Linked DNA regions of Tamandua tetradactyla. The protein of the gene in region 1 interacts with the protein of each later gene in a pairwise test. Links are inferred from orthologs where the notes say so. Each region holds a gene or a part of one and is shown on either strand. Other genes may lie near its edges.

Region 1 (8,343 bases):
CTCGACTTTGCGCTCGAGGTCGAGGCGCGCCAAGGAAGCGTTGTCAACGTCCTGTTTTGAAGAGAGAAAAGAACAGACGTGGACGTGCTGGAATCTAAGGCATGGCTCAAGCGTTCATTTAACCCCAGGCACTGCAGCTGGCCGCCCGAGAAGGGGATTGAGAAATTCCATGACCCCTGACCGAGTTTGTAAATCTTAGTGCTGTGTATGCTTTCTTCTCTTCATTAATAAATGTGAGTTGTGGTCCCATATGCTGTGTCAAGTTTGGCCAATAGACAATTTTTAAATAAATTAACCTATATCAACATGGCAAACTGCACTAGGTCAATTATTATGAGATAAAGATACTACCAGTGATGTTTTAAATTTCCTTCTTAAATATAAAAAGTTAATGCCACAGTGTTTTAAAAGTGTGTGCATGTGTGTCCCGTAGCGTAAGGGAATACAGGCAGGACAGGCCCAACTGGGTTGCAAAACTTCATTTATACATGAGTGCATGTAAAACAGAAACTCATGCTCCCAAAGTGTCGATGCATACCAAGCTGTCTTTTACTCTTCTCAGATTGTCCGGAAATTATCCGTAGGTATCACCACCTGGCAGCCACATCACCAGCCAGGTTTCAATCAAGCAGCAACTAGATACATCTAGGGTGTGCAAAGATGCGGCTCCAGCAAATACCGAAACAAAGGTGACCATGTGTGCTGTGCCTTCCTGGGGAGACTAGCCTTGTGACCCGGCTGGTGGGTGTGGCCCCCTCCCTGACTCGGTCAGTTCTGTCACTTGCCTTTATCATAGTGACCCGTTACAATCCCCGCCACCACGAGGCCCTGCAAGGACTCTTGCTCACCTCACTATCCTCCTGTGTTGCCACCCTCTGTAAGCTGCTACATTCCACATCAGAGCCCATTCAATTAAGACTGTACTTCCTCTGAAGTGAGTGTCCCAGGATTTCTAAACCTCTTATCTTGTGAGCAATTTACATCTGTCGTGCAGTCTGACCCCATCTCATCTGCATCCCTCTCACAGGAAAGTAAGTGAAGAATGGGTAATAATAAAAACATCAGATTTGGAAAAAAAATTCATTTTGCTTGCTACTAAGCCCTTAAAAAGATTTAAAATCATTTTACTAACCTCTCAAAATGCTCAACATGTTAGCTGCTTCCTTGAAGAGAATGCAAGGAACTTTGCCTCATCCCTAAACAGAGGCCCTTTTACATGAAAGCTGCTTTCTATTAACTCAGTGCCCTGCACGCTACATTACATAATCTTAAATACTTAGTGACTCAAGCGAACCACACATTGCTGCATTTAAATTAATGTGGCAAATGTCTTTCAGCTTCAAGATGTTATCCTCAACTGTACACCTAAGTGCTTTTACAGCCAGTACAGTAAGTGCGCGAGAGAAGAAATCTACACTGCGAAACCTTCCTGCTTTCTATTGTAAGTTTAAAATCCTTTGAGTGAGCTAAGATTTGTAGGAAAAAAACCCAAAAACCTCTACTTAAAGTTCAGCTCTTTGGCCCTCGCATCTTCTTTACCCACGAGGGCAGTTGAGAGGCCAGTCCAAGGTGCCCTGTGGCTTTAAGAGCTGTTCCCATCACGTACTTCCCAAGCCTGGGCCAGATATTAGATAACGGATGTGAAGATGTTAGCAAATACTTGTGTCCAATGAGAGCTCTGCTTACATCATGACAGACTGAATAAGAATGCCGCCTGCTGCACAGCCCTGCGGGGAGCACAAAGACTGCCATTATGTCTGCCCAGCGCCACCACATTTGCCAGAACGTCTGTATCTGCATTCCATAGTGAATCCCATAGAAACCATTAATTCCCTTCCAGCAAGGGGCCAGATGGCCCCTTTCCCCCTTATTAGATCACAAAGTCCTGGGCAGGGCTGGACTTCTAACTTTAATGCCACAGTGGAACTTGCAGAAAAGAAAAGAAACTGGCTGGCTTGATTCCAACTAGCCTAAGTTTCTTATCCTGCAACTCATTTTACAATTTAAACTACTCTGAGCCTCACTGCTTTTTGTGACCTTGTATGAGTTAGCCAACTCCACCGTAGCAAACCGCAAGCTAAGTCAAACTGTAACTGTTCAAAGGCGGAATGCCAATGTGTTACAAAAGTGAAACGGGCTTATTTTTTGGGAAAAAAAACCTTGAAACAAAGTTTAAAAAAGCCAAAGCCTTTTTCCCACCGTCCCCAGGAAAGTCGCCGCGGGGTTTGGGCCCGAGACGCGGTCTCTGCGCTGGGCCGGAGGCTCCGCACCCCTGGGACCGAGGCTCGCCGACCTCGAGGCCAGCCCGCGGGCCGCTTGGGTGGGGCCGGGGCAACGCACGCGCGCGCGCGGGTAGGTCACACACCTGTCGGAACGACTGCAGGGTGCTCTCGGCTTCCTCCCTCTGAATCATCTCGTCCTGCAACCTGAAAGAGGCGCCCGTTACCCCAAGGCGACGCGGAGCGCGCGGGGCCGCACGGCCACACCCAGCTCCCACGTCGCGGCTGCCGCCCCCTCGGTCTGCCGGGGCGCAGCTGGCAGTCCGCCCGGGGCCGGGAGCCTTCCCCCAAGCGCGGGCGTATCCCTCTGCTCTTTCCCAGGGCCTCTCAGCGCAGCCCGGGCGGCAGGCTTAGAAACCTGCCATTTGGGCACTGCGTGGGCCGAGGGGAAATGCTCCCCGCCAGGTCCCGAGGTAGGGCGGGGCCCGCCCCTCCGCCCCCGGGGCCAGCGCGCGACCAGGTCCCTCTGGCGGCCCCGCCCACCCCCCCCGGCCCCGCGGCTCCCTCCTCACTTCTCCCGCAGTCGCTGGATGTCCTCAGCCAGGTTGTCGCGCTCCACCTCGACGCGCGCCTTGTCGTTGGTGACCTGGTCCAGCTGGCGGCGCAGCTCGCGCATCTCCTCCTCGTAGAGGTCGCCCAGGCGCGACTTGCCCTGGCCTTTGAGCTGCTCGAGCTCGGCCAGCAGGATCTTGTTCTGCTGCTCCAGGAAGCGCACCTTGTCGATGTAGTTGGCGAAGCGGTCGTTGAGCTCCTGCAGCTCCACCTTCTCGTTGGTGCGCGTGTTCCTGAACTCGGTGTTGATGGCGTCGGCCAGCGAGAAGTCCACGGCGTCGTGCAGGAGCCGCGGGCCCGACCCGGCGCTCCGCACGCGCACGGCGGAGGTGCGCGTTGTGTAGGCGCCGGGGGACGCGCCGTAGAGGCTGCGGCTGGTGCTGGGGCGCAGGGCGCTGCCCAGGCTGTAGGTGCGCGTGGACGTGGTCACGTAGCTGCGGCTCGAGCTGGGGCGGCTCGCGGTGCCGGGGCCGCCAAACATCCTGCGGTAGGACGAGGAGGACACGGAGCGGGTGGACATGGCTGCGGCGGGTGGCGGACGGCGGGGCGCGAGCGCAGGACCGGAGCGGGAACGGCAGAGGACGCCCGGAGTCCGGGCGCGGCTTTTATCCGCGCAGGGAGGCAGGGCCCCCTCCTCTCGGCGGCCGCGGCGCAAGCGCCAGCCAATGGGACCTTCCGAAGGAGAGGAGGGGGGCGCCCGCGGGGTCCCCCCCTTCCGTCCGGCCCGGCAGTCCCGTTACTTCTGGGGCGGGGCAGGCACTGTCGGGGCTTCCTGGGCTGGCTCTGCTCAGCCCCGGGGCTGGTAAAGGCGGGGCACTGGGCGAGGGGGACCCGCCCGGAGTGGGGGAGAGGGGCCCCGTGAGGCGCCCAGGGCCGGGGGAGGGGCGTGCGGGTAGCAAGCGGGGCTGAGCGGGAGGTACCCGCCGAGAGCTGGAGGAGAGGGGGCCCGCGCCGTGCTCAGGGGGGCGCGGGGAAAGGGCCGCCGGGACGGGAGGAGAGGGGTTGGGGGCGCGGCGCCCAGGGTCGGGGGTGAGGGGCGCGGGGGAGGGGTCTTCTCGTAGCTGGAGGAGAGGGGCTCGGCGCCGCGCCCATTCAGGAGGGTGGGGGGCGCGGAGCGGGGACCCGCCTCCGCTAGAGAAGAGAGGCCTCGAACCGCGCTCCACAGTCTTGGATTGGTGGAGAGCGAAGGGTGGGGATCCGCCCAGGGCTGGAGGAAAGGGATTTGGGGTGCGGCGCCCAGGGATGGGGAGGGGGCGCGGGGTAGGAGCGGGGGAGGAACCCTCCGTGGCTGGAGGAGAAGGGCCGGGAGCCGCGCCCAGGGTCGGGAGGGGCCGCGGGGGGCGCTAGGAACTCGGTGACCGGGGTGGGGCGTGAGGGCCCCGCCTGAGGGAGGTGCAAGGGTGACACAAAGAACGCCGAGATTGGAGCGCAGGGTGGGCGCGCGGCGGGACCGGGACCTTGGTCTCGCTCCCCTCCCCCGCCCCCGCGCCTGACCCACTGGGCTGGGAGCGCGCGGGCCTGCCCCGTTCGACCTCCTGTCTCGGGGGTCCCGTCCGGGACCCGAGGGCTGGGTCCGGCGGCCAAGGAAAGCCGGGGGACGGGGCGCGGTGGCTGAGTCACGGCGGTGGGTGACTCAGGGCGCCTGCGGTCCCCGGGGGGAGGGCGCCTAGCGGTTCGCGGGAGACCGTTAGACGAGGCGGACTCGCGCTTTGTCCTAGGTCTTCGCCAACTTAGAAGGCCGCCGCCGCGCTGTTGCGGGGCACAGGGGCGCCCCGAAGTTCTTAAGAACTCGCCAGGGCCTGAGCGGACCCGGCCGCGCGCGCTTCTCACCGGAAAGGCCCTTCGGCGCGCGCGACTCGGTCCGCCCCGTGCAGGCCCAGCCCCCTCCGGCCGCCCGCGCCGTCCCCACTCCCCCAGGGCGCCACGCCCGGCTTTTAGAAAGATCTGAAAGTTCTGGGTAAAAGAGGAAACCCCGCCCGCGGTTTCACAATCTCGCAGAGGGCCCCTGGCGCTGCTGCCTCCACCGAAGGCCTTAAAGGCACAATCCGAGCCAAAGCGGGAATTACTGGGTGTCGCTTGGAATCCCCAGTCTGATGAATGAGCCTGGCCAAAGGCCGCTGACGGAAGGCTGGGGAGCAGGCTGGTGTGTTCATGTCAGGACCGAGCGCGCACGCTGGCTCCTGGGACTTTGCTGGACGTGCCCCAGCTCCGCGGGGCCTGGCCGAGAGGAGTGGGGGCGGCAGGCGTACACAGGGCCACCACTGCCCCCTTTCTGGGTGCTCCACTCACCTCCAGGGGCTGCTGTCTCCCTGTCAGCTACAGCGAGACCAGGCCACACAGGAAGGGACCCAGCAGGGAGCGGCCTTCCCGTGATGGGGCCCTGGAGACGTGCTTTCTGGGGGAGTCCAGAGGGCTGACTTCAGACCCGCCTGGGCAGGGGCAGCATCCAGCCCTCGCTCTTGGGTCCTGGCCGGCACCTGGCATTTAGGGAGGCGGCTTAGGGCCGAATGCAGGGTTTATTTGGCCTAGGGACAGCCTCCTTTTGGAAGTGTTTCCCTGCCCTGGCCGGACTCCCCATCCCGGGGGCAGTGGGCAAGGCCGCTGCTGCAGGGGCTGGGATCCGTGGGGGACATTCCTGGGCTCCGCCCTCGCCTTGCTCTCTAAGAGCCTCTGTTCAGGCCCAGCTCAGCAAAGGTCCCCATTGTGAGTCCCTGGAAGCCTCGGCCTGAGCGATGCCTCGGCTTGTGGGCTCTACAGAGAGCAGTCCAGGGCCTCACTCGGAAGGGGGGTCTGGGCCTGCGGGGGTGGGGCAGCGTGTCTTCCTCCCGGTGGGACTCTGCCCCCCTCGGCGTCAGGATGTCTCCCTTCTCCTGCAAACGTGCCCTCTTGCTGTATCCTCAGGCCTGGGGTAGTCTACTCTTGCCAGGACTGACGAGCTCACTCGCCTCATGTATACACACCTGTGTGTGTGTGGGGGGGTGTGTCTATATGTGCATATATTGTATATGCATGTGCATGCATACATGTATATAAACACACCTGTGTAACTGTCTCTATATGAGTGTATATGACGTGTGTGTACAGTGTGTTTATATATGCATGTGTGTATATGTGTGATTTTAGGTGTGCATGTGTGTATTTGTGCATAGCATGTGTATCTATGTATATTCATGTGTTTCTGTGTATATGTATGTATGTATATGTGTGCATGTTTGTATAATGTGTTGTGTGTTCGTGTGTGTATAAATATATGTATGCATGCTTAAATGTATATGTTTGTGTGTATATTATGCATTTTTGTATTGTTTGTATGTACATGGGTGTTTGTACGTCTAGGTGTATAGATACATATGTGTATGCGTGCATGTGTATGTAAGTGTGCATGACAATATGTGTATGTATACATATATACATGTGTATAATGTATATGCTGTTTGTGTGTATGCATATATGTGTCCGTTTGTGTAAATGTGTGTATATCTGTGTTTATGCATATGTACACTTATAATGTATGTGTTTACATGTATATGTATACATGTATGTATAATTATGTATATGCATACATGCATGTTTTGTGTATTTGTATGTGTGTATATGTGTGAATGTGTCCATATGTATGTAGGCATGTTGCCTCTGTGTATCCAAATATGTGCATATAAATAAGTGTGTTTGTTTATATGTATGTATATATGTATATATGTACGTGCACATTTGTGTGTATTCACATATGTGTGCAGATGTGTGCAATGCCTGAGACTTTGGAAAGAATGGCGTTCCCTCTGAGGTGAGCCCAGTGCCAGCTGGGTGTTACTGAGGCTGGGAGACAGGCGTCAGGGAGGGGCGGTGGCCGGAGCTGGCGCCCTCGCTGCCTCCTCCCTGCGTCTTCAGGGCCTCTTGGAAGCTGGCAGCGCAGACACAGTGTTCTCAGTTGTGTTTATTTTTTGACTCTGTGAAAACCCACCTCAGGTGCTCTGTAAACGCTGAGCTCTTTGCCATCTGCATCTGCAGTGTGGGCAGTGCCCTAGCCAGGCCCCAGGGGTGCAGGCCAGGCCACCCTGCTGACCCCAGGTGCCGCGCAGGATTTGGGATTTGCAGGCTGTGGCCCTGTCTGCCGAGTTCAGTTATTTGCACCGACTTACCAGCCGGTGGCAGATGGGAGCTGCGCCCCGGGCTTGGAGAAGCTGGTAGGACCCAGGACAGCAGTGGGGGTGGGGTGTCAGGACGGGCAAGAGGGGAAGGGGGCAGGCAGGAGGGGAAGGGGGCAGGCAGGCTTGCACAGCTGAGGAGGCAGGGCGCCGGGGGGAGGGGGCGGTACAATAACCTGGGTGTTGGGGGGGGTGGTACAATAACCTGGGTGTTGGGGGCGGCAGTACAATAACCTGGGTGTCGGGGGGCTTTGCTTATGTTGAAGGTAAGAGGGGGCCCTTGCAGCACCTGTGAGGTGGAGCTGACACCGTCTTTCAGGTGGGGTCGCTGGGGTAGGGGTGGCGAAGGGGGGCCTTTGTGTCCCCGAATGTGCGTGCCTATTCTCCTGGTCCGTGACTGAACCTTGTCCGCTGTCAGCCAGTGTAGCTCACAGATATTAATCAGGCTCCAGGAGCTGCAGAGGAAAGGGCCTTTAGCACCTGTGGAGATGCAGGTTCCTGGAAGAGCTTGGCGAGCCCCTGACTCTAGGGCTCCCCTTCATTCGGTGAGGAACAGGAGCTCAGAATCCTTCTCTCACCTGGGAGTTGCACGTTTTCCCCTATGTTCCTTCCCCTCCTTCCAGGGCATCATAACTGTGATAGTTAGAGTCAGGTGTCAACTTGGCCAGATGAAGGCACCTAGTTCTGTTGCTGTGGACATGAGCCAGTTGTATGTGAACCTCACCTGTTCCTGATTATATCTGCAGTCGGCTAGGAGGCGTGCCTGCTGCAATGAATGATGTTTGACTTAATTGGCTGGTGCTTAAATGGGAGACGCAACGCAGCACAACCCAAGCAGCTCAGCATACCTCATCTCAGCACTCAGAGCTCAGCTCAGGCCTTTGGAGATGCAGAAAGGAATCACCCCGGGAAAGTTGTTGGAACCCAGAGGCCGGGAGAGAAGGCCAGCAGAGATCGCCCTGTGCCTTCCCACGTAAGAAAGAACAGCAGTTGAAAGTTAGCTGCCTTTCCTCTGAAGAACTAACAAAATAAATCCCTTTTATTAAAAGCCAGTCTGTCTCTGGTGTGTTGCATTCCGGCAGCTAGCAAACTAGAACAATAGCCAAAAGAGAACCGAGCCCATTGCCCGCCTGAACCCCACCACCATGCCTGCTTCCCCGCTACCAGGGCAGGGCAGCCAGCCAACCTCGCTGGAAATGCCATCGCTGCTTCTGGGTTCTCCATCGTGCAGCCCCCATGGGGCTCTGCCGCTCACCCCCCAACCCACCGCTTCATGCCTCCACCCCACCATGCCCAGATCAAGTCCTACAGGCACTTCTCCCCATGGACTCTCCTCCCCATGGCTCTCCTCCCCGTGGCTCTCCTCC
Region 2 (7,890 bases), on another chromosome or scaffold:
CAAAAGAATCACCTTTTTGTTTTACATAAGCAAGGGTGATTATCTATTTCTTTAAGTAGAATAATGATTAAGAGCTGCAGTACCTAGCAGTAGGACCTAAAATTAAGTAGCTAGAAGATACTCACTACCACCAGTTTATCATCCACTCGTTTTCTCTTTATGGTAGTTGATTTTCCATCCCACTTCTGCACCTGTACCAGGGCACCCCCATCCAAGGTTATGATGCTCTGCAGGTGTAAAGAAAAACAATTACAATTTGCCTATGGAGGTGGAAAATAGAATACAAGATGCAGTACCTTTGTTCAAAAGAATATTTGGAGATCATTAGAAATTCTAAATGATAAGAACATACTGCAAAATAAAAAAAAATGAGTGTAGAAAGCAAACAAATACATTATGACTAGACTCGTAAACAAACATGCACTTAGAAAAAAACTGATGGAATGCAGATAATTGATAGATTTATGTTGAAATAGTATTGTGGATGTTTTTCTTTCTGTTTTTTTTCCCTCCCTTCTACTTTTTTCAAACATTCTCCAATATTGTTATGTTACTTAAATTCACTTTAAATACTCTGCGTAAGGTATATAGTAATAAAATTTTTTTTTTTTTTTTTTGCATGGGCAGCACCAGGAATCGAACCTGGGTCTCCGGCAAGGCAGGCGAGAATTCTGCCACTGAGCCACTGTTATAGTGCCCGGTCATAATTTTTTAATACAAAAACTTCATAAAAAGGGGTGAAAATCACCAACTACATATCAGAGGCAACAGGGTTTAGATCTAGGACCTCAGAGATTTCTGGCCTTTAATGAAATCATTTTCTTCCTTTATTACAAAATGACTTCTTGCAGGCGGTGATCATTCAGAAACCGGGAATTTACTTACTTTGACTTTCCTGTCATCTGCAGTGACTTCATCAAATTCCTCACCCAGTTTGAAAGAAATCTCAGTATTTTTAAAGGTACTTTCTGATTTAATGGTGATCACATCCTCGTTCACGCTGATGAGCACGTTGGGTTTGGCCATTCCAGCCACTTTCCTGGTGGCAAAGCCCACCCCTACAGTTAGGACAAAAAAATATCAGTCACAGTCTCTCTCACATCTTTATCTAAGTCAGAGAGCTGTACTCTGCGTGTGTGTGTGTGTGTGTGTGTGTGTGTGTGTGTGTGTGTTTAAAGAAAGGAAAAGGTGCCAGTGCGTTTCTGGAAAGCCTTATCTGAACAGTTGCTGCAAGGTAAGTAAAAGTCAGTCAAGGTCAAGGTCAATACTTGAGTCACAATATGTGTAGGTCCATTATTTAAACTTCGCCTTTCTCTGGTTCTGGGTATAATACTTTAGGATATCTATTTTTAATTGTTAATAAGAATATGTTCAAAGGTTTAGTCTTCTGAAATTAAAAAATAAAAAAATCACAGTACCCTCAAATAACTGGCTATCTCAATCCATTAGGGAAACCTCTATAATTTTACTCAATTCATGAGATGCTTCAAATTTGTCTTCTTAGATAATGAAAATGACCAAATCCACAGTCAAAGAATTCTCAACAGAACTTTTTGGGGGTTAATAAACAGTTATTCAGTTCTCTTTTGAGTTTACAAGAATCACAATTTCATGGTATTTCCTGCCAGTCTAGTTTTTTTGCTTACTATTCCAACTACTGCTGCTATAAAATGATGGTTTTGATTAATTTCTCTGAAAAGTAAAATGTTTCCCATATTCATACCATTTTAGAATGGTGATACCATTTCCAATAAGCTATAAGAATTACTACAGAGGGATAAGCATCAATTGTAAACACTTCAAAATTTAAGAAACCACTCATTTGATAAGTTTAGAAACCAATAGTTTCATTCTCAGTCATGTAACTTGGAAACTCTTCTTTTGTTTCTTTTTTTTAAATTAAGAGAAATATACTTTTCTTGTGTTCGATATGGGTTGCAGGACTTACAACCTAAATTACAGTGGAAATTCAATATGTTATGCAGAATTCATGTCATAGGAGTGTTGAATTTTTTAACATGTTCATAATATAAGCTGCTTCTTTGACTTAAGTCTACTTAGCAGTGTCAAAGATTAAATGTGGGGATCTTGGATAGAAATAATGGGGCAAAACAAGTGATTCTGAGGCTCTGATTTAGTTCCCCATCTGAAAAGTAGCCACAGGTGGAAGAAAATAAGTTGCATCATGAGGACCTGGCTCTGTTACAAAATGTTAACATCAAATATATGGAACGAGTTAGTTCATTGAATACTGTGCTTGAAGTCTGGCAACATAGAGCATAATTCTGGGATGGTCTACTTTGGAAAAATCATATTCTCCACTTGTTTGTTTCTGTCCTTATTTGATGAAGGTAATACCTCCTGTCTACTCACTCTTAATTAGAGTAGCTTTAGGCTTACCTGTTTTCAGAAAGTATCTTATTGCATTTTGATTATTATTGGTACTTTATAATGTAGAAACGGTGTTATAGGAATTTAAATGTTAATATTAAATGTACAGAATGTTTTCAAAAGTAAATATCTAAATGTCTTCAAATCTTGACATTACCATATCGGCACATATTAGTTTATTGGGTTGAAGCTAGTTGGTAGTCTAGAAAACAGGGTTTCTCTCAAGCTGAAGTCCCTGATTTTCTCCTTGTCTATAAACAAGAAAAATAGAAATTACAGACAAGCAAGAAAACTATACTACATAAGTTAGGAGGGGGGTAATCTTTTGAGGTTTAGAGATTACGTGCTAAATGCCACTTAAAATATCGTGTGAAGACATTTCCCCACCCCCCCACCGCCCACAATTTGCTGCAACCCCAGGGTCAGACTTGATTAAGCACAGAAGTTTAGAGAGGGGAGCTTTCAAAATTGGAGCTGCCTGAGTGAGAAATCTCCTTCCTACTTGCTTGCTTTACCTCCATAATTATTTGGGGAACATTCGCACAACTCACTGGTAACATTAACAGAATCTAAAAAATTGAAAGCCTCCATTATCAAACAGGAGATATGTAACGGATATAAACATTCGCCTTTTGAATTATTTAATCGTTCTATAGCATTCCCTATAATTTCTAATCAAATAACTATTTAAGTACTTTAAAAAACAAATTCTCTGAAATTAAGATTTTGACTCCCATAATACAACCACACATTTTAATGGCTTGACAGTCAAACGACATAAACATACATCTACTTTAAAAAAAAAGCATCTTCATTAAGATGGAAAATACAGTACTTTCAGATTCAAATGGAAATTATTAAAGCTAGGAAATAAATCTGACTTTACGTCTTAGCTAATGCTAATTTCATTTGCAAGAGAAGATGAAAGAAAAACAGGCAATGAGCCAAGTAAACCAAAGACACCCAAGTTTAGCAATTAAAATAAAAGTTTGTCACTTCTGTCAGCCATAAAAATTCCATTTAGATCCTTTTGCATGTTGATTCATATTTAGGAAATATTGCTTATCCCTTTGGTCCAGATATTTCTAGAAACAAATGATTCTTACTTACTACTGAATAACCTGTATATAGGAAGTGGCATTTTCATATCTGGCCAGAATAAAAAACACAGCCATAAACCCTTTCCCTTAGAGAAAAAGTTATAAACCCAGTTATTACATAGCACATTTGCTTACCCACTTCTTTCATGTAATCATCAAAGTTTTCACTGGAGACAAGTTTCCAGGTGCCTACAAATGCATCACACATTTTGTGAGCTTTGTCTGATTATTCTTCAAGGTGAGATACAAACGGCAGCTTTTGGGAAGGTGCTATTATCCTGCTGAGTCCAGATAACTTCCTTTTAAGTGTGCCCAAAACATGTGATCTTAGGAGTGGCCAATTGGGGATGATATTAGAACATTTCCTTCATTACTAGCCTCTGCATTTTTCCCTCTGAGTCATATTTTTAATAGAAATTTTTCAACTTTGGCTCTCCCTGGCAAATGGTCATTGTACTTAGAGTTCAAATTACTTTTAAGCATGAGCAGAAGACTTTAACATTTCTGCTTTGAAAGCTCAATGATCAATGCATTAAATCTCTCCCTACTATTTTCATCCCAACTGGGGGCAGCTAATTAGCTTGGGATGAACTTTGACCCAATTTACTTGTGTTTTTATTAAAAATGCAATTATATGGTATTTCTTTGAATTGAGGAACACGAGAACAATCTTGGAGATTCCTTTTCTTTTAAATTAAAAAATATTTTTTAAACATAACAACATACAAATATGAACATTCTTACCATATAACCATTCCATTCTTGGTATACAATCAATAACTCACAATATCATCACATAGTTGTATATTCATCACCATGATAATTTCTTAGAACATTTGCATCCATTCAGAAAAAGATATAAAAAGGAAAAAGAAAAAAACTCATGTACACCATATCCCTTACCCTTCCCTCTCATTGACAGCTAGTATTTCCATCTACCCAATATATTTTAGCCTTTGTTTCCCCTATTTTTTTCTATACCCCTTACCACTCCCTTTCATTTAAATCCACTAAAATTATTTTAACATTTGTTCCCCCTATTATTTATTTATTTTTAATCCATATGTTTTATTCATTTGTCCATATTATAGATAAAAGGAGCATCAGACACAAGGTTTTCACAATCATACAGTCACATTGTGAAAGCTATATCCTTATACAAACATCTTCAAGAAACATGGCTACTGGAACACAGTTCTACATTTTCAGACAGTTCCCTCCAGCCTCTCTGTTATACCTTAACTAACAAGGTAATATCTATTTAATGCGTAAGAATAACCTCCAGGATAACCTCTTGACTCTGTTTGGAATCTCTCAGCCATTGACACTTTATTTAGTCTCATTTCGCTCTTCCTCCTTTTAGTCGAGAAGATTTTCTCAATCCCTTGATGCTGAGTCTCAGCTCATTCTAGGATTTCTGTTCCACGTTGCCAGGAAGGTTTATAACCTGGGAGTCATGTCCCACATAGAGAGGGAGAGGGGCAGGCTAGTGAGTTTGCTTGTCGTGTTGGCTGAAAGAGAGAGAGGCCACATCTGAGCAACAAAAGAGGTTCTTTGGGTGACTCTTAGGCCTAATTTTAAGTAGGCCTAGTCTATTCTTTGCGGGGATAAGTTTCATGTGAACAAACCCCAAGATTGAGGACTTGGCCTATTGCTTTAGTTGTCCACACTGATTGTGAGAATATCAGGAATTCTCCTCATAGAGAAGTTGAATTTTCCCCCTTTCTCACCATTTCCCCAAGGGGACTTTGCAAATACTTTTTTATTCACTGTTCAAATCACTCTGGGGTTTATCGGGGCATCACTTGACAAACCATCAAAATCTCATGCCCTACTCAAGGTTCCATGTACTTATGGTGTTCAATTAAACAGTCCACATAAGTTATATTAGGAAATGCATTAGTCAAAATATAAATTTTGGGGCTGGTGATGGCAGCAGAGTGGCAGAGCTCTTTCCTACCATGCCGGAGACCTGGGTTTGATTCCCATGCCTGCCAATCAAAATAAATAAATAAATATTGTACTAAATAAACATTTTTTGCTTTAGTCTCACACATAAGCTAAAATTTTAAAATATGAATTACCATCTATTTTCAACAAGCTGCAATATTGACATTCCTTTGTTCTTCCTCATGAAAAGACGTTTTTAAATTTGTACATTTAGTCACTATCATTGTACACTCTAGGCATTCCTAGATTATACCGTTTCAGTCTTTATCATCTACCTTTCCTTCTGATTTCATTTGTGCCCCCAGCCTTCCTCCCTCTATCATTCTCACATTCAGCCTCATTCAGTGTACTAGCATTATTGTATTACAGTTAGGTAGTATTGTGTTGTCCATTTCTAAATTTTTACAATCAGTCCTGTTGCACAATCTATATCCCTTCAGCTCCAATTACAAAATATCCTATTACAAAATATCCACCTATTTCTATCTCCTCATGGTCTCTGTTCTTAACTGAAATTCTCCAAGTTTATTCATTAATGTTAGTCCATATTAGTGAGACCATACAGTATTTGTCCTTTTGTTTCTGGCTATTCTCACTCACCATAATGTCCTCAAGATCCATCCATGTTGTTATATACTTCATAGCTTTATTCTGTCTCAGAGCTGTGTAAAATTCCATCGTATGTATATACCACAGCTTGTTTCGCCACTCATCTGTTGATGGACATTTGGGCAGTTTCTATCTCTTGGCAATTGTAAATAATGCTGCTATAAAGATTGGTGTGCAAATGTTCATTTGTGTCCTTGCCCTCATGTCCTCTGAGTAGATACCTAGCAATGGTATTGCCGGATCATATGGCAATTCTATACTTAGCTTCCTGAGGAAACACCAATCTGCCTTCACAGCGGTTGGATCATTTGACAGTCCCACCAAAAATGGATAAGTGTGCCTCTTTCTCCACATCCTCTCCAGCACTTGTCATTTTCTGTTTTATTGATAATGGTCATTCTGGTGGCCGTGGGTGCGGCCATTCTGGTGGGTGTGAGATGATATCGCATTGTGATTTTGATTTGCATTTCCCTAATAGGCAGCGAAGTTGAGCATCTTTTCATGTGCCTTTTGGCCATTTGTATTTCCTCTTCTGAGAAGTGTCTGTTCATGTCTTTTGCTCATTTTGTAATTGGGTTGTTTGTCTTTTTGTTGTTGAGTTGAACAATCTCTTTATATATTCTGGTTACTAGACTCATATCTGAAATATCATTTCCAAATATTGTCTCCCATTGTATAGGCTGTCTTTTTACCTTCTCAACAAAGTTCTTCAATGCACAAAAGTGTTTAATTTTGAGGAGTTCCCATTTATTATTTATTTCTTCAATGTTTGTGCTTTGGGTGTAAGGTCTAGGAAACCGCCTCCTATTAAAAGATTTATAAGATATTTCCCTACATTTTCTTCTAAAAGTTTTATGGTCTTAGATCTAACATTTAGGTCTTTGATCTAACATTTAGGTCTTTGATCCATTTTGAGTCAATTTTTGTATAGAGTGTGAGATATGGATCCTCTTTCATTATTTTGCATGTGGATATCCAGTTTTCTAAGTACCATTTATTGAAGAGACTGTTCTGTCCCAGGTGAGTTGGCTTGACTGCCTTATCAAAAATCAATTGTCCATAGATGAAAGGGTCTATATCTGAACACTTTATTCTATTCCATTTGTCAGTATATCTATCTTTATGCCAGTACCATGTTGTTTTGACTGCTATACCTTCATAATACGCCTTCAAGTCAGGTAGTGTGAGACCTCTGACTTCATTTTTCTTTCTCAGGATATTTTTAGCTATTTGGGGCACCCTGCCTGTATTATTTAGGGTTCTCTAGAGAAACAGAATCAACAGGGAATATTCATAAATATAAAATTTATATAAGTGCCTCATGTAACCGTGGCAATGTAGAGTCCAAAATCTGTAGGACAGGCTGTGAAGCTGAGGACTCTGATGGAAGGTCTGGATGAACTCCACAGAAGAGGCTCACTAGCCAAAGCAGGAAGAGAGCCTGTGTCTTCTGAATCCTCCTTAAAAGGTTTCCAGTGATTAGATTAAGCATCACTTATTAAAGAAGACACTCCCCTTGGCTGATTACAAATGGAATCAGCTGTGGATGTAGCTTACGGGATCATGATTTAATGCTATGAAATGTCCTCACAGCAAAAGACAGACCAGTACTTGCCCAACCAGACAAACAGGTACCACCACCTGGCCAAGTTGACACATGAATCTGACCATGACACTGCCCTTCCAGATAAATTTGTTTTTTTTTCTTTCTATTTCTGAAAAGTAAGTTTTGGGGATTTTAATTGGTATTGCATTGACTCTATAAATCAATTTAGGTAGAATTGACATCTTAACTATATTTAGTCTTCCCTTCCATTTATTTAGGTCTTCTGTGATTTCT

Evidence for each region.
Region 2: the proteins of VIM (region 1) and fatty acid-binding protein, adipocyte interact in a two-hybrid assay, tested with the Homo sapiens proteins (2 studies listed by BioGRID and IntAct). The link is inferred for Tamandua tetradactyla from reciprocal best matches to the Homo sapiens genes VIM and FABP4.

The regions. Positions count from the first base shown.
Region 1 is NC_135327.1:231,910,473-231,918,815, reverse strand, and holds the start of VIM (vimentin), read right to left. Parts: upstream 3,430-8,343; 5' UTR 3,352-3,429; coding exon 2,792-3,351; intron 2,427-2,791; coding exon 2,366-2,426; intron 52-2,365; coding exon 1-51. UniProt on the Homo sapiens protein: Vimentins are class-III intermediate filaments found in various non-epithelial cells, especially mesenchymal cells. Vimentin is attached to the nucleus, endoplasmic reticulum, and mitochondria, either laterally or terminally.
Region 2 is NC_135332.1:125,326,765-125,334,654, forward strand, and holds the start of fatty acid-binding protein, adipocyte, read right to left. Parts: upstream 3,797-7,890; 5' UTR 3,700-3,796; coding exon 3,627-3,699; intron 1,059-3,626; coding exon 886-1,058; intron 228-885; coding exon 126-227; intron 1-125.